Canis lupus familiaris: one gene and its partners. The protein of the gene in region 1 purifies or fractionates together with the protein of each later gene. This does not show direct contact. Links are inferred from orthologs where the notes say so. Each region holds a gene or a part of one and is shown in the gene's direction. Other genes may lie near its edges.

Region 1 (3,500 bases):
CCATGGGCCGTTCCACTAGAGCAGTGGGCCCCGCTCATCTGCCCTCTCTCCCTCCAGATTGGCAGGACGACCAGTCCGACAACCAGTCCGATTATTCAGTGGCCTCAGAGGAAGGTGATGAAGACTTTGATGAACGTTCAGAAGGTGAGAGCTATGCCTTTCTGCTGACTTTTTAAATATTGCTTTGTTTCACACCCCTACCAGCATCACTCACACATCCTTTTCTTCTTGCAGCTCCCCGCAGGCCCAGCCGTAAGGGCCTGCGGAATGATAAAGATAAGCCATTGCCTCCTCTGTTGGCTCGTGTTGGTGGAAATATCGAAGTAAGTGCCATTTGGTTCTAAGGTGGGGTGGGTGAGTGCTAGATACTTGGTCATCGATGGAGTAAGGCCTACTCCCTCTCACTTAGGCTCCTCCTTCCTCTAGGTACTTGGCTTTAATGCTCGCCAGCGAAAAGCCTTTCTTAATGCAATTATGCGGTATGGGATGCCACCTCAGGATGCTTTTACCACCCAGTGGCTTGTGAGAGATCTGCGAGGCAAATCAGAGAAAGAGTTCAAGTAAGTGGAGAGCTGGAATGACTGATGGTAGAGCAAAAACTTCTGATCTCTGGTGGTTCCATGGTACTAGTCAAGGCTGCACACGGAAACAGGCAGGTTCCTCTGTTGAAGTTGGTGGGTGTAACCACTAATAATAGGGTTCCTTGTGTTCCTAGTTTCCCTAGAGGAGAACCTGGGGCATGGTGTGGGTTCTGGAGAACTGGCCTTCAGTGTGATGGCAGCTTTATCTTAAGATGGAGCCAGAGTTGTTTGGTGGAAAGATCTCCTCTAGGAGTTGGCCTGATTGCTGTTGAACTCATTTTCTCACTTCTTTGCTACAGGGCTTACGTATCTCTTTTCATGCGACATTTATGTGAGCCAGGAGCAGATGGGGCTGAGACCTTTGCTGATGGTGTCCCCCGAGAAGGCTTGTCTCGCCAGCATGTCCTTACCAGGATTGGTGTCATGTCCTTGATTCGAAAGAAGGTGAGCCCTAAGCCTCTCTGCATTGTTCAGAGTTTCTACGGGAAACTAGAGGACAAACGGGAGAGGAGCCTAGAGCTGGAATTGGTCTTCACCTTCCTGTCCCATTGCTACAGGTTCAGGAGTTTGAACATGTCAATGGGCGTTGGAGCATGCCTGAGCTTGCTGAAGTAGAAGAAAATAAGAAAATGTCCCAGCCAGGGTCACCTTCTCCAAAGACTCCTACACCCTCCACTCCGGGGGACACACAACCCAATACCCCTGCACCTGCTCCACCTGCTGGTAAGTCTGTCTGTACTGTCTATCCTTTTCTGTTCTTCTTCTTTTTTTTTTTTTTGGTCCTTGCCAGTGTTTCTTCTGCTCCCTTGTATTGAGCTCTGACAGAGGAGTCTGGCAGGACACACAGCAATCTCCCTCTCAGTTTAGGAGAGCCGTCCTAAGAATAGGGCTGGCTCTTAAAGGCACGAGAGGACAATTTTAAGATAAGACCAACTGAGAAGGCATGACCTTCTCTCTGATCTAGAACTTTCTTCCTAATTAATTGCCTTCTATTGGTCTGCAGAGGATGGGATAAAAATAGAGGAGAATAGCCTCAAAGAAGAAGAGAGTGTAGAAGGAGAAAAGGAGGTTAAATCTACAGCTCCGGAGGCCACTGTTGAGGTAAGAGATGGGGGTGACCGGATGCCATACGGAAGATAAATGAAGAAGCCCATTCATCTTTTCAGTTGCTGGCCTGTCTGCCTCAACTTATGTACTTTTTCCTTTGAAGTGTACACAACCCCCTGCCCCTGCCTCAGAGGATGAAAAAGTCCTTGTTGAACCTCCTGAGGTTGAGGAGAAAGTAGAAAAGGCGGAGGTGAAGGAGAGAACAGAGGAACCAATGGAGACAGAGCCCAAAGGTATCCACATTTCCAAGTATTACATCCAGATCCCTGTGAAACTTAGGTACTTCTAGCTGGGCTAAGGAAAGGTCAGGAGGAAGTGACACCCTGGAGAATCCCCTACCCTTGATTTTATATTGAGGGTTTTTAATCCCTTAAGACATTTTTTATGATGTTAGTCATTGAGATTTGGGGTTAAGACTGTCCCCCAGTCTTAACTGGTGTGGGACAGAGGAGAATCTTCTTTATTTTTATTTTCTTATAAAGATTTTATTTTTAAGTAACCTGTACCCACCATGGGGCTCGAACTCACAACCCCGAGATCAAGAGTTGCATGCTCTAACGACAGCCAGCCAGGCACCCCAGAACGTTCTTTATATACTCTCAAATCCCATCTGTTCCCCCCAGGTGTTGCTGACGTGGAGAAGGTAGAAGAGAAGTCAGCAGTAGATCTGACCCCCATTGTGGTAGAGGACAAAGGTGAGTGTTTGGAGAAGCTGATCGTGACTAAAAAGGACTCTAAAACTAGATGCAAGGACTTTATCTCTGGTACACCCCCTGGCTTCTCACACCCATATAACTATTTAATCCCAAGCTAAAAGACTCCCAACTGTCCCTACATATGATTGTCACGGGCCAGTGACATTTTTCTGGGTTTGAGAAATACCTGTGTGGAGAAAGGGTGAAGGTGGCTGCATGCTTAGAGCATATAGTGCTGTGGGTAAGGACCAAGGTGCTATGCTTTTGTCTGGAGCTGACATTTTTTTTCTGCATATCCTGTAGAAGAGAAAAAAGAAGAAGAAGAGAAAAAAGAGGTGATGCTTCAGAATGGAGAGACCCCCAAGGACCTGAATGATGAGAAGCAGAAAAAAAATATCAAACAACGTTTCATGTTCAATATTGCAGATGGTGGTTTTACTGGTATGACATTGAGGGACCAACTGGGGTTAGAAGGATCTGAAGTGAAAGTAGGGTTCTTGTCAGAGGCCAGGATACAAAGATTTTACCTCTACCAGATAAGGGACTGCCAAGTTGATTGCACATTCCTCTGACTCTATGTTAGAAAGCCAGAGGCCTACTCCTAAGATGGCATCTGTGGGCCAGGAATAAATAGCTTTTTGAATTCTTACAGATATTTGCCTCTCTTGTTCTTCTCCACCTTCCCCAAATTCCTATTCAGAGTTGCACTCCCTTTGGCAGAATGAGGAGCGGGCAGCCACAGTCACTAAGAAGACTTACGAGATTTGGCATCGGCGGCACGACTACTGGCTGCTGGCTGGCATCATAAAGTATCCTTTGCTGGAGTCTGGGCTGAGGTTCTTGGTAAAGGGTTCTGAAGGTCCTACTGTTTGAAGTTTCTGCTTTCCTTGTTTTGTTTTTCCTGAGCAATTTTCCAATAGCCATGGCTATGCCCGGTGGCAGGACATCCAGAATGACCCACGCTATGCCATCCTCAATGAACCTTTCAAGGGTGAAATGAATCGTGGCAATTTCTTAGAGATCAAGAATAAGTTTCTAGCCCGAAGGTTCAAGGTGAGCAGGATAGGGAGGAATATAGTATTGAAGTGACAGCCTTTGAAATGCAGAAGGGACTGTA
Region 2 (3,500 bases), on another chromosome or scaffold:
GCCTCTCTCTGTGTGTCTCTCTCATGAATAAATAAATAAAATCTTTAATTAAAAAAAAAGTTGCATAAATAAGAATAACACTTGTTTTTACCTTGTGAAGTTTAAATGTCATTGGGATATTAAAGTATTGGAGTTTAAACTATATCATCCCCTCTATGAATCATTAATCTGATCTTGAATAGGTTTCTTTATTGTATGAAGTCAGTAGTTAGATGTCCATGTCAGCAGTCGGGTTGCCTGAATTACTTTACAAAGTAATTGAATGGATTGAGGAATTTTAAGTAACTGCTTACAAATGTGAAATTTGAGAATTACAGATGGAATTCAATTACAGCAGAATTGCCCTTTGCATAATTTTGGCGTTAACAGTTGGACCCTTGAATAGCATTGAGCGGGGCCACTTACACATGGAAATTTTTGGTGAATACAGTACAGCATTGTAAATGTGTTTTTTCTTCCTTATACTTTTTTTTTCCTTATACTTAATGTTTTTTTCTGCAGTTTATTTTATTGTAAGAATATAGCATAAAATGTACATAACGCACAAAATATGTGTTCAGTGACTGTTTATGTTACCCATAAGGCTTCTGGTCTATGTACAGACTGAGGGCTTGTTATATACAGGTTTTCAACTGCATGGAGAGTTGTTGCCTCTAATCCCCCATGTTGTTCAACGGTCAGTGGTTATGCATTAAGGAACAATTTCCAGTCTAGAGCCAGGAGAAGCTGTAACAGTGGCTGGAGAATGGGGCATTCACATGAGTGTGTGTTTAGAATAATAACTGTACTTACTGAAAGCCTGCCACCTGTTAGGCTAGTATTGTGGGCAGTTTACAGATAGACCCTGACAGCTTTATTGGGGACTGCTGTACCCATTTAGGTTTACAGAGGGAGCTTAGAAAAATATTTGAGGTCAAATGGTGAACAGGTTCAGGAGCCAGATTCACCTGAAGTCTAGCTGAGTTCAGAGACTTCTCTTTTGCACATGTTGCTTTCCCTATATTTGGAGGTAGCTTGGGATCCTGGACACCTGACTGGCCTCTCATGGTTGGGAAATTTGGTTTAATGTGGGGGAGATCAGAAAGGTCCTTCAGGGTCCATTCTGACTTTTTTTTTTTTTTTTTAACTTTTATTTATTTATGAGAGAGAGAGAGAGAGAGAGAGGCAAAGACATAGGCAGAGGGAGAAGCAGGCTCCACGCAAGGAGCCCAGTGTGGGACTTGATCCCAGATCCCAGGATCACATCCTGAGCCAAAGGCAGACGCTTCACCACTGAGCCACCCAGGCATCTTAAAATCTTAAAATCTGGGAAGAGCATCTTTACTTGCAATGTGGTTTTCATACTTTTCTTGGCAGGGATTGCCCTTGGGCTCCCCCTCCCCCAAAGCCTTGGGGACTCCTGAGATTTGTCCATTTAATTATTCCCTTGAGAAAGTAAAACGTTTATTGGACAACATTTTAATCTGATTGATGTTATTGTTGGGATTTTTCTGGATTTCTAGAACTCAGACCCAGAAGGAGGTGGAAAGAAAAAGAAGAAAAAGAAGGACAAGAAACACAAAAAGGATAAGAAGCACAAGAAGCACAAAAAACACAAGAAGGAAAAGGCCATGGCAGCAGCCGCTGCAGCAGCTGTCACTCCCACGGCCCCTGCGGCCCCCACGACCACATCAGCACAGGAGGAACCGGAGGCAGAGCCCGAGCCTAAGAAGGTACGTGTGTGTCTTAGACTTCTACAGATCGCTTGGTCACTTGTTGAGAAGAAAAGAATTTTTTTACAATAATGGCTACTCGGCTGTTAGCTAACTCTTCTGATCTATCCTCATTCTTGATATCTACCAAGACGAAGGAGAAGAATATGAATGGCTGCCAAATGCTTACTGTATATTTTTAAAAAATAACTTCTTTAAGATATAATTAACGTGCCATTCACCTATTAAAAGGCACTCAAGGGTGCCTGGCTGGCTCAGTAGAGCACACAACTCTTAACCTCAGGGTTTCAGGGTTGTGAGTTCAAGCCCTGTGTTGGGTATAGAGTACTTAAGTAAAGTAAATTTAAAAAGAAAGTATATGATTGAGGGGTTTTTAGTATATTCATAGAGTTGTGCAGCTGATTGAGGGGGTTTTAGTGTATTAGAGTTGTGCAGTCACTGCCATGATGTGGTTCTGCCCTTGCACCCTACACCTCTCTGCCAGTGTGTCAGGACTCACCAGTGTGGCCCCTCTGGTTTTAGGAAACGGAGAGTGAGCCTGAAGACAACCTCGACGACTTAGAGAAGCACCTGCGTGAAAAGGCGCTGAGGTCGATGCGGAAGGCTCAAGTGTCCCCACAGTCTTAGGCGGGAATGTGTGTCACGATGTACATTTTATTTGGTTTGTATGCAATTCAATTTCAAAATTGCTAAAATGTGTTTGAGCTTTAGACTATAACATTTGTTGTAATAATTGCTAGGTTGAAGTTCACCATGTAAAAAAAAAAGGGGCATGGATTTACATTGCAAAAGGTGTCCACAGTGTATTAGTGACATTCTTTCATTGACAGCTGACATAAATTCATTTAGAGTGAAATATTTTAAGCCAAAAAAAAAATCCTCTTTTTAAAAAAGGGGGTTTCAATATTGTTGGCATTTTTATGGTTTCTTTAAAGGCCTTGGCTATTCCCAGAGGTTTTCCTTTCTTGTCATTTTTTTTTTCTTTATTTTTTTCTCATTTGAGTCTTAGCACCCATTTAAGTTATGATGCTTCCAACCTTGTATGGTTTGCAAGCTTGCCCAGAAATAAGACCACTGTTGAACTACCACAAAGTATAAATGAATATTTTAATGCCACAATCTTTCCTGTTGCCTGTGGAGTCTCTGCTGAAATGAATCAGGATTCGAGCTCTAGGACGAGATGGAAAATGAAAGCATGTTGTTTGCCAGGACACTGTGGGTTTATATTGATGTGTAACAAGTTGATTTGGAACACTGGAATTCATTCTATTCTGTTGTGTTTTTTTGTAAAGGCAATTAACTAGTCCCAGGAAGGATCCTTCAGTTATATAAAAGTTTGTTTTATGAAATGTCATGGCTCCATTCATAATTTTGTCTTGTTCTTCCAATTGGTATATACAACTTTCAGAGCTCTCGTATTTGGAAGGCTGGAAGGGCCCAGACTTTGAAATAGTGTCTTGTTTTCACTGTTTTTGTTTTTTTGTTTTTTTTTTTTTTAAACTAAAGCTATATAAAGCTTGTGGATTAAACAGAATAAATTTCTAAATTTAAAAATGTTGGCCACTCACTTTTACTTAACCGTCTCAATACTGCAGGAACCCACCTTTTTTTTTTTTTTTAATAGAAATCTTAGTTAAGCCTATGTTTTTACCCCCCTTGGCACCTTTGGCACACTGAGGATTGGGCAAGGGAAATAAATGGTGAAATTATTTTTCCGTCTTTATTTTAATAATGAGTGCAGTAAGTGCTGTGAAGGCAAAGTGTGTGGTGAGATGGGAACACCTATGC
Region 3 (3,500 bases), on another chromosome or scaffold:
GGCACCCATAAACTGCTTTTTTGTTTGTTTCTGTTTTGTTTTTAAAGATTTTATTTATTTGAGAGAGACAGCATGTGCAAGAGTATGAGCAAGGGGAGGGGCAGAGGGACAAGTCGACTCCCCACTGAGTTTGGAGCCAGATTGGAGACTTATCCCAGAAACCTGAGATCATGACCTGAGCTGGAGTCAGACGCTTAACTTACTGAGCCACCCATGTGCCTCTCCCCTAAACAGTTTTTTAACAAGATTTGCAGGACATTTTGGGATCTAGGCCCTGCTTCCTCTTCGGTCTCCTCTCTTGTCACTCTTCCTGCCACCGTTCTTCCCCTTCACCACAGATCCTTCAGCCAAACTAAACTGTGTTTTCCCAGTGTACCAGATGGTGTCCTGTCTGGGATTATGCTCATGCTGCTTCCTCTGACTTTGTAGGTCTGTCTTCACTTTGGCTAACTTGTACTCATCCTTAGGACTCAGTTTAGACATCACTTCTTGGGGAAGCCCTCCTCCTCCCTTATGTGCCCATAGGTTTTTCTTAGTGCAGAAGTGCCCTTCCCATGTGCTCTCTGGGCATTTTGTGATCACCCACGTACCCTACTGTATCAGGATTCCCGGCTAGATGTGAATGAACTTCTGTAGAGCAGGGACTGTGCCTTGTTTGTCATTGACTCCTTAGTAATTCATGTTGGGCCTGGCACGGTATGTTGTAGTTTAGTAGATACTTGTGAAATGAATAAGTGAATGATATTAATGTGATGATTTTTCACTAATCATTCTCCCCAAAATTATCTAAAGCAAGGCTATAAATTTTATGAATTGATTTTTATTTTAAGCTTGAGTTTTATGGGCATCCATACTAATGTTTAATACTTTCTTGTATATTTATTATATATTTTTATTTCATTTTATTTTCATGTTAATTTTGTTTAGGCATAAATCATTTGTTTTAAATAATTCTTGGCTTATTTTCTTTTTATAACCTTGAGATTTATCCCTGCCTCAGGTGGAGGATGCGCTGTCCTATCTTGACCAGGTGAAGCTGCAGTTTGGTAGTCAGCCTCAGGTCTACAATGATTTCCTTGACATCATGAAGGAATTTAAATCTCAGAGGTAAAAGATCTATGTGGTTGTATTCAAGCTTTGTGCTTGAAATGTTGCTTTTGGAGGGAGGATATTGCTTATTTTCGTACGCTGAAAGATAAAGGATGCCTCCTTTTGGGGAGTTTAATTTTTAGGATCATGTCTTTATTTCATGTATTGCTTTCTTGATGACGATTATGGGTCCTGGACTTTGTATTCACCCTGTTGGTTAATTTTCCTTAGCACGTCATCTCAATCAGGGAAGTAGAAGGATAGTGATGAGCCCCACCTGGTCTCGGAGTTGACGTAGGGTACGCTAATATTCTGGCGTGGTTCACTTGCTAGAGTAACTCGTGAAAACTGTGAACACACAATGATTTATCCTCATGTGGTAGAGAGTGGGTCCTGCGTGGGAGTTGCTGCTTTAGATATGCTGTTAAGGATCTGCTTGTTAGGACTGTTATCGTGAATATATGTTGTGTTCAAAATTGTGACCAAACCTCTTTGAATATGAGGCTAAAATTGCTTTGGAATTTCAGAGTTCTTTGTATTTTGTTGATTTGGTGATATGCAGGTTGATTTTACATGTTTTCCTATTCAGAGAACCTAGTGGAATGTGCATTTTTTTCTTACTAGGGTATTGGTAAAGCTTGCCACTTTAACTTTTTGTGGTGTGTGTGTGTGTGTGTGTGTGTGTGTTTGTATGTACATGTTTTGTTTTTTGTTTTAATCAGCATTGACACTCCAGGAGTGATTAGTCGTGTGTCCCAGCTGTTCAAAGGACATCCCGACCTGATTATGGGCTTCAATACCTTCTTGCCCCCTGGCTACAAGATTGAGGTGCAAACCAATGACATGGTGAATGTGACAACTCCTGGCCAGGTTCATCAGATCCCCACCCATGGCATCCAGCCCCAGCCTCAGCCACCACCCCAGCATCCTTCTCAGCCTTCAGCCCAGTCAGCCCCAGCTCCTGCCCAACCAGCTCCTCAGCCCCCACCTGCCAAAGTCAGCAAGGTGAGCACTTGGAATACGTTGCATCAGGTAAAATGCATACCTAGAAAGCACCCTCCTTTGATATTTCCCCTTTATATAGAATTTAGAGACATCAGTTGTGGTGATTTCATCACAGAAGCTGAAGTAGTCACATTGGTATAAGATGGTTCACATTTACCTTCCACATACTTAGGTATCTGTTTAGATCAACACATCCATAACTTATAAAGAACTTATTTTGTCCCCACCTCCTGCCTTGTGAACCCATGAGCATCCCAACAGATGGCAACTTTATTGTGTAGTAGTACTTTGATGGCACAGGCAGAAATGATCATCTGATAATCAGATTATGTTACTGCCCACGGGGTCATCATTTTATAAAAGTCACTCCATTTACCAGATTAGGTCATGGCAAGCCAAGCAGAAGATCCCGTTGCTGGTGGTGATGATGGTGGTGGTGTGTACTTGCTCTAGAACTGCACTGTCTGATACAGTAGCCTCTAGCCACATATGGCTGTGTTTAAATTTAAACTAATTAAAATAAATTCAGTTTCTCAGTTGTACTGGCTACATTTCAAGTACTCAGTAGCCCTGGGTAGCTTAGTGGCTATATTCTATAGGACAGTGCAATATGAAAGAACATTGCCATCACTGGAGTTCTATTGGACAGAGGTGGTTTAGAAGATTTTTATGTGGAATTCTGCAACAAGTGTCTTTTGACATTAAAGATCTATGGAGAGTAAGGGTTGATTTTTTTTTTTCTTATTATGTTTGCACCTGTTGAGTGAGCTTAAAAATTGCATTAGAAAAATTCTTCCCTGTAATTGGAGATGTAGCCACTTCTCAGGTTGTATTTCGAAAATTTGAAACAAAAATATCTGTATTAGAGAGTGTGAGCCCTTGCACTCCCCATGCCTGCCCAGTGTGATTTGAGTTGGGCTAACTGGCCTGGTCAGAGTAAATAAAGTACATTTGTTGATCAGACACCTTGTTTCTCTTTAGTTTGACCTTTCTTTCCTATGTCAGACCATCTGTATTTCTGAGGAGAATGACTTTTTTTCTTTTTAGCCTTCCCAACTACAAGCACATACTCCAGCCAGTCAGCAGACACCCCCTCTCCCACCATATGCATCCCCACGCTCTCCACCTGTCCAGCCTCATACACCAGTGACAATCTCGTTGGGAACGGCCCCATCCTTGCAGAACAATCAGCCTGTGGAGTTTAATCATGCCATCAACTATGTTAATAAAATCAAGAACAGGTTCCAGGGCCAACCAGACATCTACAAAGCATTTTTGGAAATTTTGCACACATACCAGGTAAGAGAGTTGCCCTTTCAGCATGTCTTAATTAATCAGGTCACATGCTGAGGGCATCTGGTCTGAGAACTTGAATAACCATTATTATGTTCCCTAAGTTTTACTGG
Region 4 (3,500 bases), on another chromosome or scaffold:
GACACGGAGGCAAAAGGAGCCCAAGTGCCAGTCTCTGCAGATGTACAGCAAGGTGGAATACGCTTCGCCTGCCTTGTTGGAAGTTTGAGAGCTGAAATGCAAGTCCATTCTGAAATGCCTTTTTGGGGGGTGGGGGCACCATCTTTTGTTCTGTTGGGAGGGCATCTTTTCCAGAGCAGGACTTCCCCCATCCTTTCCCTTTCTTATCTCCAAACTTGGGGTGTTCCACACTCTCTCTGTGTCCTCTATGAGTAGGCATTGCATGATGGTACCAAGGTGGGCATTGTTGCCCTTCCGGGAGCTTCCAGCCTAGTGCAGGACATGGACATTGAATAATGGCCCAAATGGATCCTTCTTAGCAAGGAGGAGCTTGTAAGGAACCTTCTGGGGAGATGGGAAGGTGCCACTTGCTCTGAATAGGGCAGTGGAGCATTCAGGGCCCAGGGAAGAGCTATTGTGCTGTAAACCAGGCTGCTTGATGCTAGGGAGTCCTTGAAGTACCCTGGCCTGAACCCTCCCTCTGCATGTATTATACTGATTAAGAGGCCACTCCCAGCAGGAGGGGGCTTGGTGGGAGAACTCATCACTGTTTTTCCAGAATATTTCCCCTGTCAGACTGTTCCATCCAAAAATTTGTGGTATTTATTTTTGATGCTGTTTTAATGCTTTTATTCCATCTGTGTGGCATTTAGCTTTATTTTCTATAAAGGCAGATATTTGGAGCCTCTTCTGCCTTGATCAGAACCGTTTGTGTAAAAAAAAAAAAAAAAAGTTTGTGTGTTTCGGTAGCTCTTCCTGCCGAGCAGAGTAGTGGACTAAAACTTGGTGTCGGTGCAGTCAGGCTGAGTCACTTGCCGCAGACATCTGTGGACGGGGATGCTGGTTGCCACCCAGAGGTAGTTGAAGGTTACGTGTGATGGCTTGCGAAGAGGGCCAGGGACCAAGTAAGTGCCAGCATTAGCCCCACTGTGCCTGGTCACCACCACTGTGCCTTCTCTGAAGCCAGAGGTGCTAGGGGCCCAGGAGACCAAAGGTGACACCACACAGGGAGAAGAGCCTGGTGCTGTGGAGTCAGCAGCCTGTTGAGTATGAAGCATCAAAGGAAAGAGGAAGTCCACCATGAGAGGGGAAGCACCTTTCCCCCCTGGCCAGACTTCCCAGAGGCCAGTGAGGGAGCTGATAGTCTGGCTCCAGGCCCTGGGGACTTCTGTCATCTGCTCCCCAGACCGCCAGCTTGACACTGTTTCCTGACACAGTTTCTCTGCCTTGCTCATTATTTGGGACTTGTTCCTCATTATTTTAACTGCAGACGCACTAAGGGAACCCTTTCTGGGCCACACAGGCCCCACAGGGGCAGCAGCGGGGGTCCTGTGTGCATTCCAGGATGCTGGGAGGGAAGTCATGTCACTGAAGCGTGAAGCCTGTGGTTAGAAGGCCTCTGGGGCTAGGTTCTGTTTAGAAGCTCCCCTGTTCCCATCTGTGTCCCATGTCCTGAGAACAGACTCCCACCTTCAGCAGACAGCTGTTGGGGAAGATCTTGAGAACTGTGGACTGGGATGCATTTTCTCACATGACACGGGACAGGGCCAGCTGCCAAGGGCTGGGCTTGAGGCTGCTCACTCATCTCCCTCTGTTCTCTCCTAGTCACCCATGTTCGATGGAAAAGTCCCACACTGGTACCACTTTTCCTGCTTCTGGAAGGTCGGCCACTCCATCCGGCACCCTGACGTGGAGGTGGACGGGTTCTCTGAACTCAGGTGGGATGACCAGCAGAAAGTCAAAAAGACTGCGGAGGCTGGAGGCGTGACAGGTGTGTATGGACCTGGGGGCAGCAGGTGCAGACCCCCAGTCCCACCTGGGCAGCTTCCCTGGGGACCTCTTCTGGGGGGTGGGGAGCCCTTCAGCTTTGTTACCTGTGATTTCGGCAGCACCTCCTTGGCTTGCCTATGGTAGGCTGTTTTTGTTTTTCAACGAGTTTTCCCATTTACCTCCTGCCGCCACACAGGCAGGGCCTCTCCCTCTGTCTCCCTCCACAGCGGTACATGTGTTCAAGTGGACCCTTCATTATCACCCCAGGTCCAAGGTTTAAGGATTCACGTGTGGTAGTGTACATTGTATGGGTTTGGACAATACACAATTGACCTTTGAACAACATGGGTTTGAACTGGTCTGCTTCTGTCTAATCTTCAGTAAATTCAACACTACTATAAATGTGTTTACTTAATAACATTTTCTTTTTTGAGGTTTACCTTATTGGGAGTTCAATATTTAATACTTATAACAAAGGATGTGTTAACTGTTGGTTATCAGTAGGGCTTCCCGTGAACAGTAGGCTGTTAGTAGTTAAGTTTCAGGGGTATTGTGGGGCACCTGGGAGGCTCACTCAGTGAAGCATCTGCCTTCAGGTCATGATCCCAGGTCCTGGGATCAAGTTCCACATCAGGCTCCCTGCTCAGTGGGGAGTCTGCTTCTCCCTCTGCCATTCCTCCTGCTCACACTCCTCCTGCTCACACTCGCTTGCTTTCTATCAAATAAATAAAATCTTTTAAAAAAAAAAAAGGTTTCAGGGGACTCAAGTGACCCATAGGTTTTCAGTGCACGAGGAAGGTCAACATCCCAACTCCCACTTTGTTCAAGTGTCATCTGTATTTGGAGTCATTCGTATGTAGTCTCTTCAGATTGGCTTCTCTACTTAATAATTAACAGGCATTTCAGGTTCCTCTGTGTCTCTTCGGGGCTTGATGGCTCCGTTCCCTTTAACCCTGAATAACATTCCATTGTCTGGATGGACCACGGTCTGTTCGTTAGGAAGGATATCTTGGTTGCTTCCAAGATTCAGTAAATGCAAATAAAAGTGCTGTGAACATCCGTGTGTAAATTTTTGTGCAGACTTAGGTGCACATCCATGTGTAAATTTTGTGCAGACTTTCATTTGGATAGAAAGCAAAGAGCATGACTGCTCATCCTCTGGGGAAGCGTAGGCTTCATTTTGTAAGAAACCCCGCAAACCAGGGGCAGCCCCGGTGGTGCAGCGGTTTGGCGCCGCCTGCAGCCCAGGGCGTGATCCTGGAGACCCTGGATTGAGTCCCATATCGGGCTCTCTGCATGGAGCCTGCTTCTCCCTCTGCCTGTGTCTCTGTCTCTATGAATAAATAAATAAAATCTTAAAAAAAAAAAAAAAGAAAGAAAAGAAACCCGCAAACCAGCTCTCTAAGCAGCTGTACCAGTTTGCATTTCCATCACTCCCTCACTAGCACTTGGTATGTCTGGGTTCAGGATTTTAACCATTCTGATGGGTGTGTACAGGTGTCTTGAGTTGGTTTGCAGTCCCCTAATACCCTACAATGTGGAGCATCTTTTCGTGTGCTTATTGCCATCTGCATCTCTATTTGGGAAAGAGTCTGGATATTTTGCCATTCATCTTTCATGTTCTTTCCTTGAGTTTTAGAGTTGTTCATGTATTTTGGATAGTGGTCTTTTGTCTTTTGCAGATGTCTTTT
Region 5 (3,500 bases), on another chromosome or scaffold:
CAGGTGCACAGATGATGACTGCAAATACTTACAGTTGTTTGGCCTCGTGTGCAATAACCATTATGTTGTGTACTCTCAACACTGAGGTCTGTGGGGAGGCCAGAAAGACATTCCTCACCCACTCCTGTTTAAGCCCGTCTATCTTGAATCTTGGTAGATACACACAGCTGCTGGTTGTTTTCCTATAGGAGCTTGTTATGGACACAGGGTTCAAAAGTGGAGGGTGCAGAGAAGGAAATAATTGGTTTAAGGCAGAAATAACAAGTTTCTTGTAGCTACTCTGGGATATTGGTAGTAGCGACTTAGTAGAAGCAGTATTGAGGGGTTATGTTGAAAAGGAAGTGGAGGTCCTAGCAGGCTCTGTGGAGAAGGCACAAGTGCTACTGAGCCGTGTCTATCTGACAGTATGTGTGAAGCCAGGTCTTTCCTCCAGTACACCCCTTGGTCTTTCCCAATCATAGCCTCCAGAGGCCTACTTCAGAAGCTCTGCCCTGCCCTTTACTCCTGTAGATCTTCTCAGAATGATCCCAAAATGCAAGTATTCCAAATGCATCTGTGATCCTGATTCATTTACAGGTTCATGTATGTGCCAAGGAGTTAGCTTCTATCACAGAACAGAGAGCTAGGACTCAAGAATTCCTGGTCTCCAGGGGCTTTAGTTGGGAAAACAAGAAATGAACAAGTAGATGTTACTATATAGGATTTACAAGGTATGTGAGACTCTGAAGTGCTTTGCATACACTGTAGCACTCTGGGAGACTTCCCAGAGCCAGGAGGCGGCTGTCTGCACACAGGCATATCTCATTTCTCTTTGGACCCTAGGGGCTAGAACAGTGCAGGTGCATGGAAGAGACAGCAGTATAGCTGGGTGTAGAAAAACATGATCTCCCTTGAGTCATTGCTTAGCGATTGAAGTCTAGCAGATACTTCTTTTCCTTGGCAAGAGAACACTTAACCTCGCTGCCTTCCAGGCAGTATGCAAACATGCTAGCCTGCCAAGAGGGTTGACCAGTTTGCCATCCCTTGCAGAAACAGTATCCTTGGTCTTTAGCACTGTCCAGGATTTCATCCTGAAGGGCACTTGGAGCAGCACCTTGAGACTACAGAGGGTTTGAGTTTCAGGTGCTCTCTTCCCCCACTTCCTGCCACAAATGAGTGTTTCCAGGATTCTGAGCCGCTGACTTGGCTCTCAGATCCCAGGTAGGCCTCATTGGGTGAGGTGGTTCCCCTCTTCCAGCCTGAGATTCCTTCGCTGGAAAGGGAAGGGATTAGATCAGTGGGCTTCAGAATGCTTTTAAGAGCTTTAGTAGTTGGATGGAAATCTCCTGGGGGGAAGGTTGGGTGAACTGATTGGTAAGCAAGGCCGTACTTAAATTGTTTCATATGTTTTCATTTCTGACAAAATCAGAAGGTTTAAAGAACCCTGGATTAAATAATCTCTAGGGTTCCTCTATACATTAAGCAGCTAAAGTGGAAATAGGAAAGAGCCCCAGACACTCATACTAATTGTTCCCTTCAGGACCTGACCTAGTTTTGGCCAAAAATCCAAGGACTGCAGTTCAGGAGCTGTGGGGCCTCCCAGGACTGTCCAGCTTGTCAGCAGCTGCCTCGAGTGAAGCTCTCTGACCCTGGTGGAGACACTTAATCCGCAAGAAGTTATTGATAATCTGTTTTGTGCCCACCTAGGCCAGGCACTGTGAGAGAAAGAAGACACAGAACTTGCCCAGGAAGGAGCTTTATCATTTAACTGAAGAAATAAAATTAGAACCATTAAAATGCAATAAAATCAAAATATAATTAAGTTCTGAAAAGGTCTGGAGTGATTCTTGGAAGGGCTGGGCCTCGAAGGAGGTTGGGACAGATTCAGACACCTCAGCATGTGAGCCGAGACCCGGAGGTACGCGTGGACCTGATCCGGATGGCCCCCCGCGGTAGCGGCAGTGCCTCAGAGGCTGCGTTTATTGCCTGCCATAAAGAAAATGCCTTCCTATATCACTTTTCTCTGAATGGGCTCTCTCCCAAGCCCTTGTTTCCAGCAATGACAAGTCCCTCTTGGATGTGTTTGCAGATGCCCCTCCGCCGCAGCAGCAGCAGCCGCCACCACCACCACCGCCTGCAGATGGAGTCCCTCCGCCTCCTGCTCCAGGCCCTCCAGCGTCGGCGGCCCCCTAGCCTGGAAGACGGGGACAGCGTCCACACCCAGCGCCGCCAGCTGCCGGGCAGATGATGAGACTTGAGTTCCTCAGCTTCCTTGGGTTTCTTTTAGGATTTTTCTTCTCGCGGCCCCAAGCACGCATCCCATATTTCCCTGTTCCTCTTGCCAACCCCTCTCCGTGCTCCCACACCTCTTGTGTTAGGTCCTCTGCCGGCCTGCCGGGAGGCGGGGAGCCTGCAGTGACAGTGCGCCCTGGTCATCCTAATGGTAACCTGCGTCCCCCCCCCCCCCCATCCTGGTGTGGGGTATACTGACAGTTTCTCTGCAGGTCCTATCAACATTCGAATTTTATGTCTATTGTTTTTGCTCTCCTGCAGTTTTTGGCTTTGTCTTATGCTTATGTGGATAATGCTTTATAATCATTATGTTTTCTTTTTTCTTTTGTCATTGTTGCTTTAAATGGGAGCATCCTAAGTTCATAGGAACCAAAAAATGGTGATGGGCAGAGGGAATAGCCAGAGGGGACAAACCTAAAGGCATTATAAGTGACCTTATTTCTGCTAATCTGAGCTAAGATTGGTGCTGATGGTGAAGTTGCATGAGACTTTTGCCCCACATAGACACACCAAAATTCAAAGAGATGGGGACGGGACCCCACTGATTTTATTCCTGGTGAGGAATGTGAGGACCTCCACCCTGTGTGGCAGAACACGCCCCTTTAGTCCCCGGTAGGGGTATGCACAAGCATTAGAGCAGACCCACTCCTTCCCCAGGCCCACCGATTCTGGCTTTCTATGCAGGTGCTTCGTTGGATTAGGAGTGGGGCTTGGGGGAGGCATTCCTTTGTTCCCTAGACTAGCCAGGAACATTTTAAGAGCCTATGGCAATGACTACCCAGTGAGTCTAGTCCACTAGTCACTGCTTTGTATTCATTCTTTGCCCCGCCTTTAAAAAAAAAAAAAAAAAAACTCTAAAACGGAAAAAAAAAAAGTGAGTAGATAGTGCTAAACATTTTAGCTCATGGAAGTTGGTTAGGATTGGCTGGGGGTTCAAGTCCCCAAACTACCTCTTGCAGTCCAGGGTGAGTGGGGTTTAGTGAAGCGGTACTTTAGGTTTGGGATGGGATTGGAGAAGTGGGGCAGGATCAAGGGCCTCTCGTACCTTCTCTCTTCCCTTCCTGAGATCTCACATTCCATCTGTCGCAAGGTTATCAGGAAGATTCTGGGGGCACCAAGGAACTCAGTTGGCAATCAGAGCATCATGCTTTGAACTTTGGGGTACTCAGACTGGGAGATCAGAATGCCATTCCAGATGAGGAGCCACAAAAATGCCTTAACTTGAGCTC

Evidence for each region.
Region 2: the proteins of CHD4 (region 1) and SRRM1 purify together in Homo sapiens (affinity purification with mass spectrometry; 3 studies listed by BioGRID). This does not show direct contact. The link is inferred for Canis lupus familiaris from reciprocal best matches to the Homo sapiens genes CHD4 and SRRM1.
Region 3: the proteins of CHD4 (region 1) and SIN3A purify together in Homo sapiens (affinity purification with mass spectrometry; 3 studies listed by BioGRID, with this or other methods). This does not show direct contact. The link is inferred for Canis lupus familiaris from reciprocal best matches to the Homo sapiens genes CHD4 and SIN3A.
Region 4: the proteins of CHD4 (region 1) and PARP1 purify together in Homo sapiens (affinity purification with mass spectrometry; 4 studies listed by BioGRID and IntAct, with this or other methods). This does not show direct contact. The link is inferred for Canis lupus familiaris from reciprocal best matches to the Homo sapiens genes CHD4 and PARP1.
Region 5: the proteins of CHD4 (region 1) and SMARCC1 purify together in Homo sapiens (affinity purification with western blotting; 6 studies listed by BioGRID, with this or other methods). This does not show direct contact. The link is inferred for Canis lupus familiaris from reciprocal best matches to the Homo sapiens genes CHD4 and SMARCC1.

What each region holds. Positions count from the first base shown.
Region 1 is NC_049248.1:7,660,347-7,663,846, reverse strand, and holds part of CHD4 (chromodomain-helicase-DNA-binding protein 4), read left to right. Parts: coding exon 1-144; intron 145-234; coding exon 235-323; intron 324-426; coding exon 427-560; intron 561-880; coding exon 881-1,025; intron 1,026-1,138; coding exon 1,139-1,304; intron 1,305-1,358; exon of another isoform or gene 1,359-1,498; intron 1,499-1,584; coding exon 1,585-1,682; intron 1,683-1,791; coding exon 1,792-1,921; intron 1,922-2,311; coding exon 2,312-2,383; intron 2,384-2,686; coding exon 2,687-2,824; intron 2,825-3,083; coding exon 3,084-3,192; intron 3,193-3,303; coding exon 3,304-3,436; intron 3,437-3,500. UniProt on the Homo sapiens protein: ATP-dependent chromatin-remodeling factor that binds and distorts nucleosomal DNA. Acts as a component of the histone deacetylase NuRD complex which participates in the remodeling of chromatin.
Region 2 is NC_049223.1:74,414,054-74,417,553, reverse strand, and holds the end of SRRM1 (serine/arginine repetitive matrix protein 1), read left to right. Parts: intron 1-1,502; coding exon 1,503-1,712; intron 1,713-2,234; coding exon 2,235-2,339; 3' UTR 2,340-3,266; downstream 3,267-3,500. UniProt on the Homo sapiens protein: Part of pre- and post-splicing multiprotein mRNP complexes. As a component of the minor spliceosome, involved in the splicing of U12-type introns in pre-mRNAs. Involved in numerous pre-mRNA processing events.
Region 3 is NC_049251.1:38,711,407-38,714,906, reverse strand, and holds part of SIN3A (paired amphipathic helix protein Sin3a), read left to right. Parts: intron 1-1,000; coding exon 1,001-1,107; intron 1,108-1,811; coding exon 1,812-2,094; intron 2,095-2,470; exon of another isoform or gene 2,471-2,714; intron 2,715-3,141; coding exon 3,142-3,393; intron 3,394-3,500. UniProt on the Homo sapiens protein: Acts as a transcriptional repressor. Corepressor for REST. Interacts with MXI1 to repress MYC responsive genes and antagonize MYC oncogenic activities. Also interacts with MXD1-MAX heterodimers to repress transcription by tethering SIN3A to DNA.
Region 4 is NC_049228.1:38,456,305-38,459,804, forward strand, and holds part of PARP1 (poly [ADP-ribose] polymerase 1), read left to right. Parts: intron 1-1,644; coding exon 1,645-1,810; intron 1,811-3,500. UniProt on the Homo sapiens protein: Poly-ADP-ribosyltransferase that mediates poly-ADP-ribosylation of proteins and plays a key role in DNA repair.
Region 5 is NC_049241.1:41,739,512-41,743,011, forward strand, and holds part of SMARCC1 (SWI/SNF complex subunit SMARCC1), read left to right. Parts: intron 1-2,068; coding exon 2,069-2,172; 3' UTR 2,173-3,500. UniProt on the Homo sapiens protein: Involved in transcriptional activation and repression of select genes by chromatin remodeling (alteration of DNA-nucleosome topology).